Linked DNA regions of Arabidopsis thaliana. The protein of the gene in region 2 purifies or fractionates together with the protein of the main gene of each other region. This does not show direct contact. Each region holds a gene or a part of one and is shown on either strand. Other genes may lie near its edges.

The links. The genes of interacting proteins can lie anywhere in the genome.
Region 1: the proteins of PFD6 (region 2) and PFD1 fractionate together in Arabidopsis thaliana (co-fractionation; one large-scale study listed by BioGRID). This does not show direct contact.

What each region holds. Positions count from the first base shown.
Region 1 is NC_003071.7:3,043,671-3,047,442, reverse strand, and holds PFD1 (PREFOLDIN 1), read right to left. Parts: upstream 1,921-3,772; 5' UTR 1,800-1,920; coding exon 1,776-1,799; intron 1,667-1,775; coding exon 1,613-1,666; intron 1,402-1,612; coding exon 1,296-1,401; coding exon of another isoform or gene 1,292-1,295; intron 1,217-1,291; coding exon 1,210-1,216; intron 1,130-1,209; coding exon 1,045-1,129; intron 948-1,044; coding exon 837-947; 3' UTR 539-836; downstream 1-538. UniProt on the Arabidopsis thaliana protein: Binds specifically to cytosolic chaperonin (c-CPN) and transfers target proteins to it. Binds to nascent polypeptide chain and promotes folding in an environment in which there are many competing pathways for nonnative proteins.
Region 2 is NC_003070.9:10,505,617-10,509,665, reverse strand, and holds PFD6 (prefoldin 6), read right to left. Parts: upstream 2,134-4,049; 5' UTR 2,001-2,133; coding exon 1,925-2,000; intron 1,831-1,924; coding exon 1,760-1,830; intron 1,641-1,759; coding exon 1,516-1,640; intron 1,279-1,515; coding exon 1,218-1,278; intron 902-1,217; coding exon 845-901; 3' UTR 515-844; downstream 1-514. Other genes in the region: MNS3 (alpha-mannosidase 3), read left to right, coding at 1-134; AT1G29980 (choice-of-anchor C domain protein, putative (Protein of unknown function, DUF642)), read left to right, coding at 3,672-3,786. UniProt on the Arabidopsis thaliana protein: Binds specifically to cytosolic chaperonin (c-CPN) and transfers target proteins to it. Binds to nascent polypeptide chain and promotes folding in an environment in which there are many competing pathways for nonnative proteins.

The sequences.
Region 1 (3,772 bases), on a different chromosome or scaffold from region 2:
TATTGCTCACATGCTATTGATGATTGATCAACTTGAGTTTTAACTATTGTTTCACTGAATTCATAATATATATTACATCTACTTGTGTTTAGATTGTGAGGTTAAATTTATATATATTCACAATGTTAGATGCAATCTCGAGTTGTAGTCTTTTTTTTTTTTTTTTTTTGTCAAAAGTGTGTTTTATTTAGTATAGAAAGCCAAAGTAACATGCCAATATTTTACAAACACTAAACCAAGGAAGCCAAACAAAAGAAAACAAAGTCCAATAAGAAAGCTGAAGGAAAAGCTTAAATGCATTATATTAGACATGTGGCAAGCAGGAAGCAGGTTAGAAGACACATGCAAAGTTGAAGATGTGAGAGTCTCCGTTGATCAGAAAGCTTCAATTCCGGCCAAGATCGCCGGAAAATTATTCAATCGACTTATCCTAATCTTCCCTCAAGAAACAAAGCGAATTCCATTTTAGCAACAAATACCCGAAATATGAGCCGAATCACACCGAAAACAGAGCCAGACCACACCGGAAACAAAGTCTTCTCATCCGGACAACGAAAGCCGGTAAGCATACCGAACGGTGGAACAAGGATTGAGTTTTCTCTCCGAAGAATCATAGAGAGACCTCATCCTTGTTAAAATTTTTGTTTTCGAGTTAGATAGATCATGCATTTGTTGTCGCATAAGAAATCTCAGTTTTTTGCAATATCATAGACCAGAGGCTTTAAAACAATACTGATCGAACAAAAACTTTTGAATGTTACAACTTTTAACTAGAACATGTTATGGTTTCAATCCCAAAAGCTCTCCAAACTCAAAGGTTTGGGATAATACAAAAGTTACATAGACATGGACATAATCTGTTGAGCAATGCCCGGTTCTTGCTGCAACAGCTCCCTCAAGTTGTTCTCAACCTCTGCTACCTGCTTCTCCAAGTATTCCTTGGATGTCTAAAAATCATCCCGAAAACAAAACATGTTTGATAACCAGCATCTCAATGATCTCCTAATAACCCAATAAGATGTTGAAAGAGGGAATGATTGTTACCTGTAGAGAAGCAACGGCAGCTTCACTGTCCTTGAGTTTTTGCTCTTGTTCACCCTCCAGCACTGTCTTGGGCTCTAGAACAAACCTGTTCACCATACAAACTATAATCAGCCTTCAAAATTCTCTAAAGGCCTCTAGTTGGACTGACTAATAACCACCACTCACGTTCTTCCTGAAAACAAGAATAAAACACAAATTAGACCAAAACTTTACTAGTCCTTGTCTCAAAACCAGAGAATTGAATCACTTGCCTATTGACTTGTAGGTGTTTGTCTCTTCAGGCAATGGCCTCAGCTCCTCCAAGGTTAAGAAAGCTCGCTTTCTATCTCCCTCTTTGTTGCGCATCTGATTCTGCACCTATATATAAAACCCATCCACATTCACATTTCAGTTTTTCAGCACCACATGACAATAACCTAGGAAAGCCAATTTTGTCATTACACAACATGAAAGAAGGGATTATAAAACCAAACACAGTTCAAGAACTAACAAATTACAAGTAAACCCTTATACAATGTGTCACGTTTGATTCTAAAACTTGATAAATACAAAGAAAGTGAGGATTCACCTGTTTGAGCTTCCCAGTGAGTTCAATCATGCTAGCTTGAATCTCCATAAAAGCCTGTTGTAACTATACACATTACAATTCCATTTTCTGCAACATCTTACTGGGGAAAGAAGAATATTCCACTAGAAAATTGAGCTGATTTAAGAGAGAGAGAGGTACTCACAGCTCTGGTTGCTTCGTCCGCCATGTCTGCAGATCTTGATCTTTGAACGAACCCCGACGTGCTAGAGAAGGGTCTTTCGTTTTAGGGTCAAAAAGTTAGAACTACCCGGGTCGGGTTTCAGACGGCTTAGCCCGGTTTATCAAGGCTTTATTGGGTCAAATCGGCCCATTTATAATTAACGATGATTTTATACTTTTAAAAAAATATGTGTTTGCATTGGAACAAACAATTCTACCCAATAACACAATTTAATTTACCCATTTGGTTTTAGATTGTACCATGATTTTGTAAATCAAAGACTCAAAGTCATTGTCTTTTTTTTCTTGTATAATCAACCACCCAAACCATTGTTTGTATCGTAACCAATTCAGCTAACACCACCAAATTATTTTACCATATTATATTTTAAGGGTGATTTGCATTATCATACACTTTCGAAAACATGTTGAGCAAAAGTTTTGCCGACAGGCACACTTCTGATCAATTATAAGGGTGATCAATTATAAGGGGGAAAAAGACTTAATTGACCCTATTAATTAAATCAAGTAAAATCGGTTATTTAGGGTAAGAGTTTGGGGAAACCGGTTTATTTTGTTTTTGCAAACCGGAGAAAGCATGGAACGAATAACTATGTCATCGAAGTTTGAATGACGATGAACAAAAGAAAGAGAAGCTCTGAAGTTTGAAGCAACTAACAAAGATATCATAACGATGGTAAGAAAAAATGGATTGGTAACAATAGTAGAAAATATTCGCTGATATATTATTGACTGTCTAAGATAAAAAATTTATATATTGCAGGGAACTGAGGATGGCTTCTGTTATGTAATATGCGGGGATTGGAATTGCGAGGAGGATGAGAAGTGGTATGTTGAGGTTAATAAGGTAATGAAATCTCGAATTGTGCCTGTATATAAAGGTATTAAGCTATCAGAATTCGTGGAAGCCATTAGAGTAGAATTTGGAATTTCAACGAGTACGAAGGTTGATTTAAGCTTCTGTACCCCAAATATAAGAGATTTTACCACCGGAGATAAAACACCACCGGTCGTCGTGACGACTGATGTGGGGCTAAGTTATTTTATGAAGATATTGGAAGCAAATGTTGGAACCAACATGTTTGTAAAGTTTGGAACATCTTGTAAAAGAGTTTTAAACAATTCTGAGGTTGACGGTGGGCTAGTGAAGACCAGTTCAGTTAAGGAAGATGACGGAAGAGGGAATAAGTCGAAACGTTTATGTGGATCAGAAGATAGTATATCGAAGGTCGGGTTGAAAGAATTTTTGCTGTCCTCCGAAGATGAAGAATTTGTTGCAGAACTTGAAACTATAGAAAGAGTTATAGGTTGTGAACGAGGTCCTCTTGTTAGTGAAATTTTATCTGAAGATCTTGATGATGAAGATCTAGTGGATGAAGGAAGCGAAGATCTTACTTGGGATGAGATTATAGAAGTAAAACCCCAATCTTATGATGTGGAGTTTTGGAGCCCATTCTTGGATGAGGACATGGGTGGCTCAAATGCATTGGATATAATATGTGTCGGGGAAGAAGATGCTGATGTTAGAATGGGATTTGCGTCACCAACAGTAGACACAGAATTGGTGGCCAGTGTGGAAGGTGCAGGTTCGAACATGGAAATTGATGATTTGATAACGTCTTCGATTAAGCATCCAACTGATTTACTTGCAAACAGCAGTGGAACGGGAAAAGTTGTTAACAATAGAACAGGTGATTGTAATACAAATGAAACTGCAAGAGAAAATAGGAAGCTGTCGGATGTGGACGATGAAGAGTTTGATATTCCTCCTCTGTTTGATGACACGGAGTATGAAGCTGCCATAATGCCGGATATAGATAGGGCTGACGGTGAAGATGTATATAAAGGAAAAGTTTATGCTAGCAAGTCGGATTGCCAAATTGGATTAGCTATATATGCTATTAGGCATATGTTTCACTTCAAACAAACACGCACAAAACTTGATTCATTTGTTTTAAA
Region 2 (4,049 bases):
AGATGGAGACATTTTTCCTTGGTGAAACATTGAAGTACTTATACTTGCTCTTTGGAGATGACTCAGTGATACCATTGGATAAGTTTGTTTTCAACACTGAAGCTCATCCATTACCAATAAGAAGAAACACCTGAAGGCTTAGTTTTGAAGACTACTCCAGACAATACACACACACACACACATACACAAACTTAAGAGAGGGTATGGAGAAAGTGATGTATAGTACACTGCCAATTGGAGAAGAAGTTAGTTCGTTGAGGAAAAAAAGTCATAACTTTCAATGTAAGATAAGCTTCTGCATCCAAATTATAACTTAACTCGTAAAAGTTTTTGCTTGTAGTAGTAGGTTTCTTGAGACTAATATTCTCTCTTTTCGTTAAGCTCTCACTTGGCAAAATGTAATCAGACACAATTGACATGGAGATGAATTATGGTTTTAGTTTTTTATACATACCATTTACACTGCAAGATAAGATCATTCTGATATGACTAATAAACCTTTAAATTTGAGATCATTTGGTCATCTTAGCTCTTTGTAATCTGCAAGGTGTTGCATAGAACATAATCGACTTGAAGTATGTATGAAGACCAAATTAGGCGCACACACACAATATTTTTTTGTAAATCTCCAAACTCATAACTTCATAAAGGGCGACAAGATCATGTATAAGTTACACACTTAAGTCTAGTTGTCAACAAAAAAAGATTAGTGACACAAAGAGACATCAATCACCCAATAAACTGAAACCACAAGAACCCTCAGTAACTGAATATGACACCATTGAGACAAGGCCGAGCACAGTGGAAAGGGTTTAACAAGTGTGGTTGCAACTGAGTAGCTCAATCAAGCCTTTGCTTTTCCTGCCTGGATAGTTTGTAGCCTTTGTTGTAACTTCATTATCTGCAAATATTTTGATTCCATAAATTGAAACCATAGGATCATTATCACCATTTAAAAGCCAAGAAAGTGCAGAAACAGCAAATCCTCATATTGCGCCAAGGCCAGTAGGCCACTCAACGAGACAGAGGAGATAACAAAGTTCAAGTATTTACTTTCCGGGCAGGCTTAAACTGACAACAATAGCTACCAAAGTATCTTTTTAGAGCTTAGTATACTGAGCATCAATGTTTGGACTATTATTGGTGTAGCAGTCCTAGTATCACTAATTCAATGCACTCAAAGAAGTATATAAATGCATGAGAGGCAGATGTCTTACCGTTTCTCTCTTGTTGTTTTGTTTTTCTTCCATATCTTGAAGAATTGCATCAAGCCGTTTCCTGCAAAGGATACAACAATATTCTTGAGGTCACAACACTATAGCTCAAACACTTTATCAACATCTCTCATAGTTGTTACATAGCTAGAAGTGAAAACATTTTAGCTACTTATGAACAGCAATCACTCACTATTAGCCTAGAAAGAAAGAAAGGTTCTTTATTTACAATAACAATCCCAAAATAGGTTTCTCAACGAACTGCATTTGCTTCAATCACATTAAAAGAAAAGAAACTCACAATTCAGCAGAGATGTACTCAATTCGTTTACGAACATTTGCATTAGCTTCAGCCAAATCCTGCTTCACTAACACCGGACCAATCAATTTGTAGACGTTAGCATCTTCTTCCAGCAAATCTAACTCCTGTAGATACAAGACAGACACATAAAAAGATTAAAGCCAATCAACAATCGAAATAAACTTCTCTTTTCAGTTGAAGTAGCCACAAAACTCAGATTAAACAGTGAGACATGAACATATACCTTAAGCACGAGCTCATTCTCACCGAGTTGGATCGTATACTTCTTTCTCAGCTGATGATTCTTCCCGATATCTGAAAATATGAACACAGAAAAGTAGGGTTTCCCGCCTCCAGAAACAAGAAAAGAATCAAATCGAGAAAAGTTACGAGAATCTACGAAACTTGCCTTTCTGGATTTTGCCGAGATCATTAGCCTTGTTTTCTAGGTCTCTCTGCAAATCACGAACAGTCGATGAACTCATCTTCGTCGTCGTCGTCTGCTTCTTCCTCACTCCGGTGGTTTATTGAAAACTCGCAGATCCACCAAGGAGCAGTAACAAAACTCCGTTAAAGCCCCCGTGTTTTAGTAAGGCCCAAAACCGTATTAACTTGGACTTTTTAACGGCCCAATATGCTTTTCTTCTATTATCAAGCCTAGTTTTAGTTACATACAAAAGAAAAACACTATTTATCACTTGGTGACGTAATATCTTCTAGTTCACTGATCATATCAACACTGAACATAACTCTCATAAACACAAATTTTTACTTTTCGTCCCTTTATACCTCAATCTATAACGGGAAAAATGTCGTTTAATACGTGAACTTTAAAAAAATGGTCATTTAATACGTGAACTTTATATATGGTAAATTAATACATACAAAAATCGTTGACTGGCCATTTTACACAAACTTAATCGTTGATCAGGCCAAAATCTACACGACGTTATCTGACATTAACAGACCGATAACAGCCGTTAACTAATCTCTGTTAGTTTCCAATACGACGTCATTTCGATTATCGCAAAAACGGGAAAAATGCCATTTAATACTCCAACTTTCAAATTATGGTCATTTTATACATCAACTTCACATATGGCCATTTTATACATGAACTAAACGTTGACCAACAGTTTAAAAAATGAGAATGTGTTAACCAGGCCAAAGAGACATACCGCTATCTAGGCCTAGGTATTTGAATAAATCCAAACCGAATCCAAACAAAAATCTGAATATCTAGGTCTAGATAGCGGTATGTCTTTTTGGTCTAATCAACGCATTCTCATATTTTAAACTATTGGTCAACGTTTAGTTCATATATAAAATGGCCACATGTGAAGTTGATATATAAAATGACCACAATTTGAAAATTGGAGTATTAAATGGCATTTTCCGTTTTCGCGATACTCGAAACAACGTCGTATTAGAAACTAACGAAGATTAGTTAACGACTGTTATCGGTCTGTTAATGTCAGATAACGTCGTGTAGATTTTGGCTTGATCAACGATTAAGTTTATGTAAAATTGTCAGTCAACGATTTTTGTATGTATTAATTTGCCATATATAAAGTTCACGTATTAAATGGCCAATTTTGAAAGTTCACGTATTAAACAACATTTTTTCAAATCTATAATAGTGAAAAGCCGAAGATTTTACAAAGACATTTTTGTTGTTGTCAAACTAATAATTCACTCCACAGCCTAAAAGAAATAGAGTTGGATCAAAAGTAAAGTTGCCACTTTAGTCTCGCATCTAGCACAGATCCAATGAGAGGGAAAAAAAAAGAGAGAACCTAGGTCAATACTAAAACTTATTCCATCGTGGCTCTACTAATTAGAACAATTAAATACTATGTTACAGTAGAAACATTTCTTTTACTTTTTTTTTGTTATGCGTGCATGGAGTTTTGTCTGTAAAGAGCTTTAAATATAGTGGAAATTAAATGTTGAGAGTTAAAAAAAAAGAAGAAAAAAAAAGACAAGGAGTGAGGAATCTTGGATAAAAGGACACTAACCTTCCCTGTCTTTGCTCGCTGCCCGAAAAGAACATACAGAAAGACACTTTCACATTTCACACTTACAGAGAGAGAGAAGAGAGATAAAGAGAGCATTTAGATATCTTGAGGAAGACGAAGAAGAAGTAGAGGAGAGATATGGTTCCGAGCAACAATAGATGCAAATGGAGTTCCATTTTCTTGTTTCTGCTCAGTGTCTCCGTTGCCGTCTTAGTCGCCGTCGCTGACGACAAGTCTCCGGCGGTTGAGGATGGTACGCTTTTCACTTACCTTCATCAAATTTCTTTGTTCTTTTCTGGTCTCTGCGTGATTGGTTTTTCTCAAAAATGCCATTTAAATAAGAATCTTGTGTTATCAAGATTTGGTTTCTTGAATCCAACCCATCTCTGTTTCAAGAACAGAGGACCAAAATAATTTAGTTTCAGATGATTGATTTAGTTTTTATCTGGATTTTGAGTGTTTAGATTTTTGGGGGTTTTCCTCAATTTCACTTCACTGTTGCTAAGATTTTTAAGT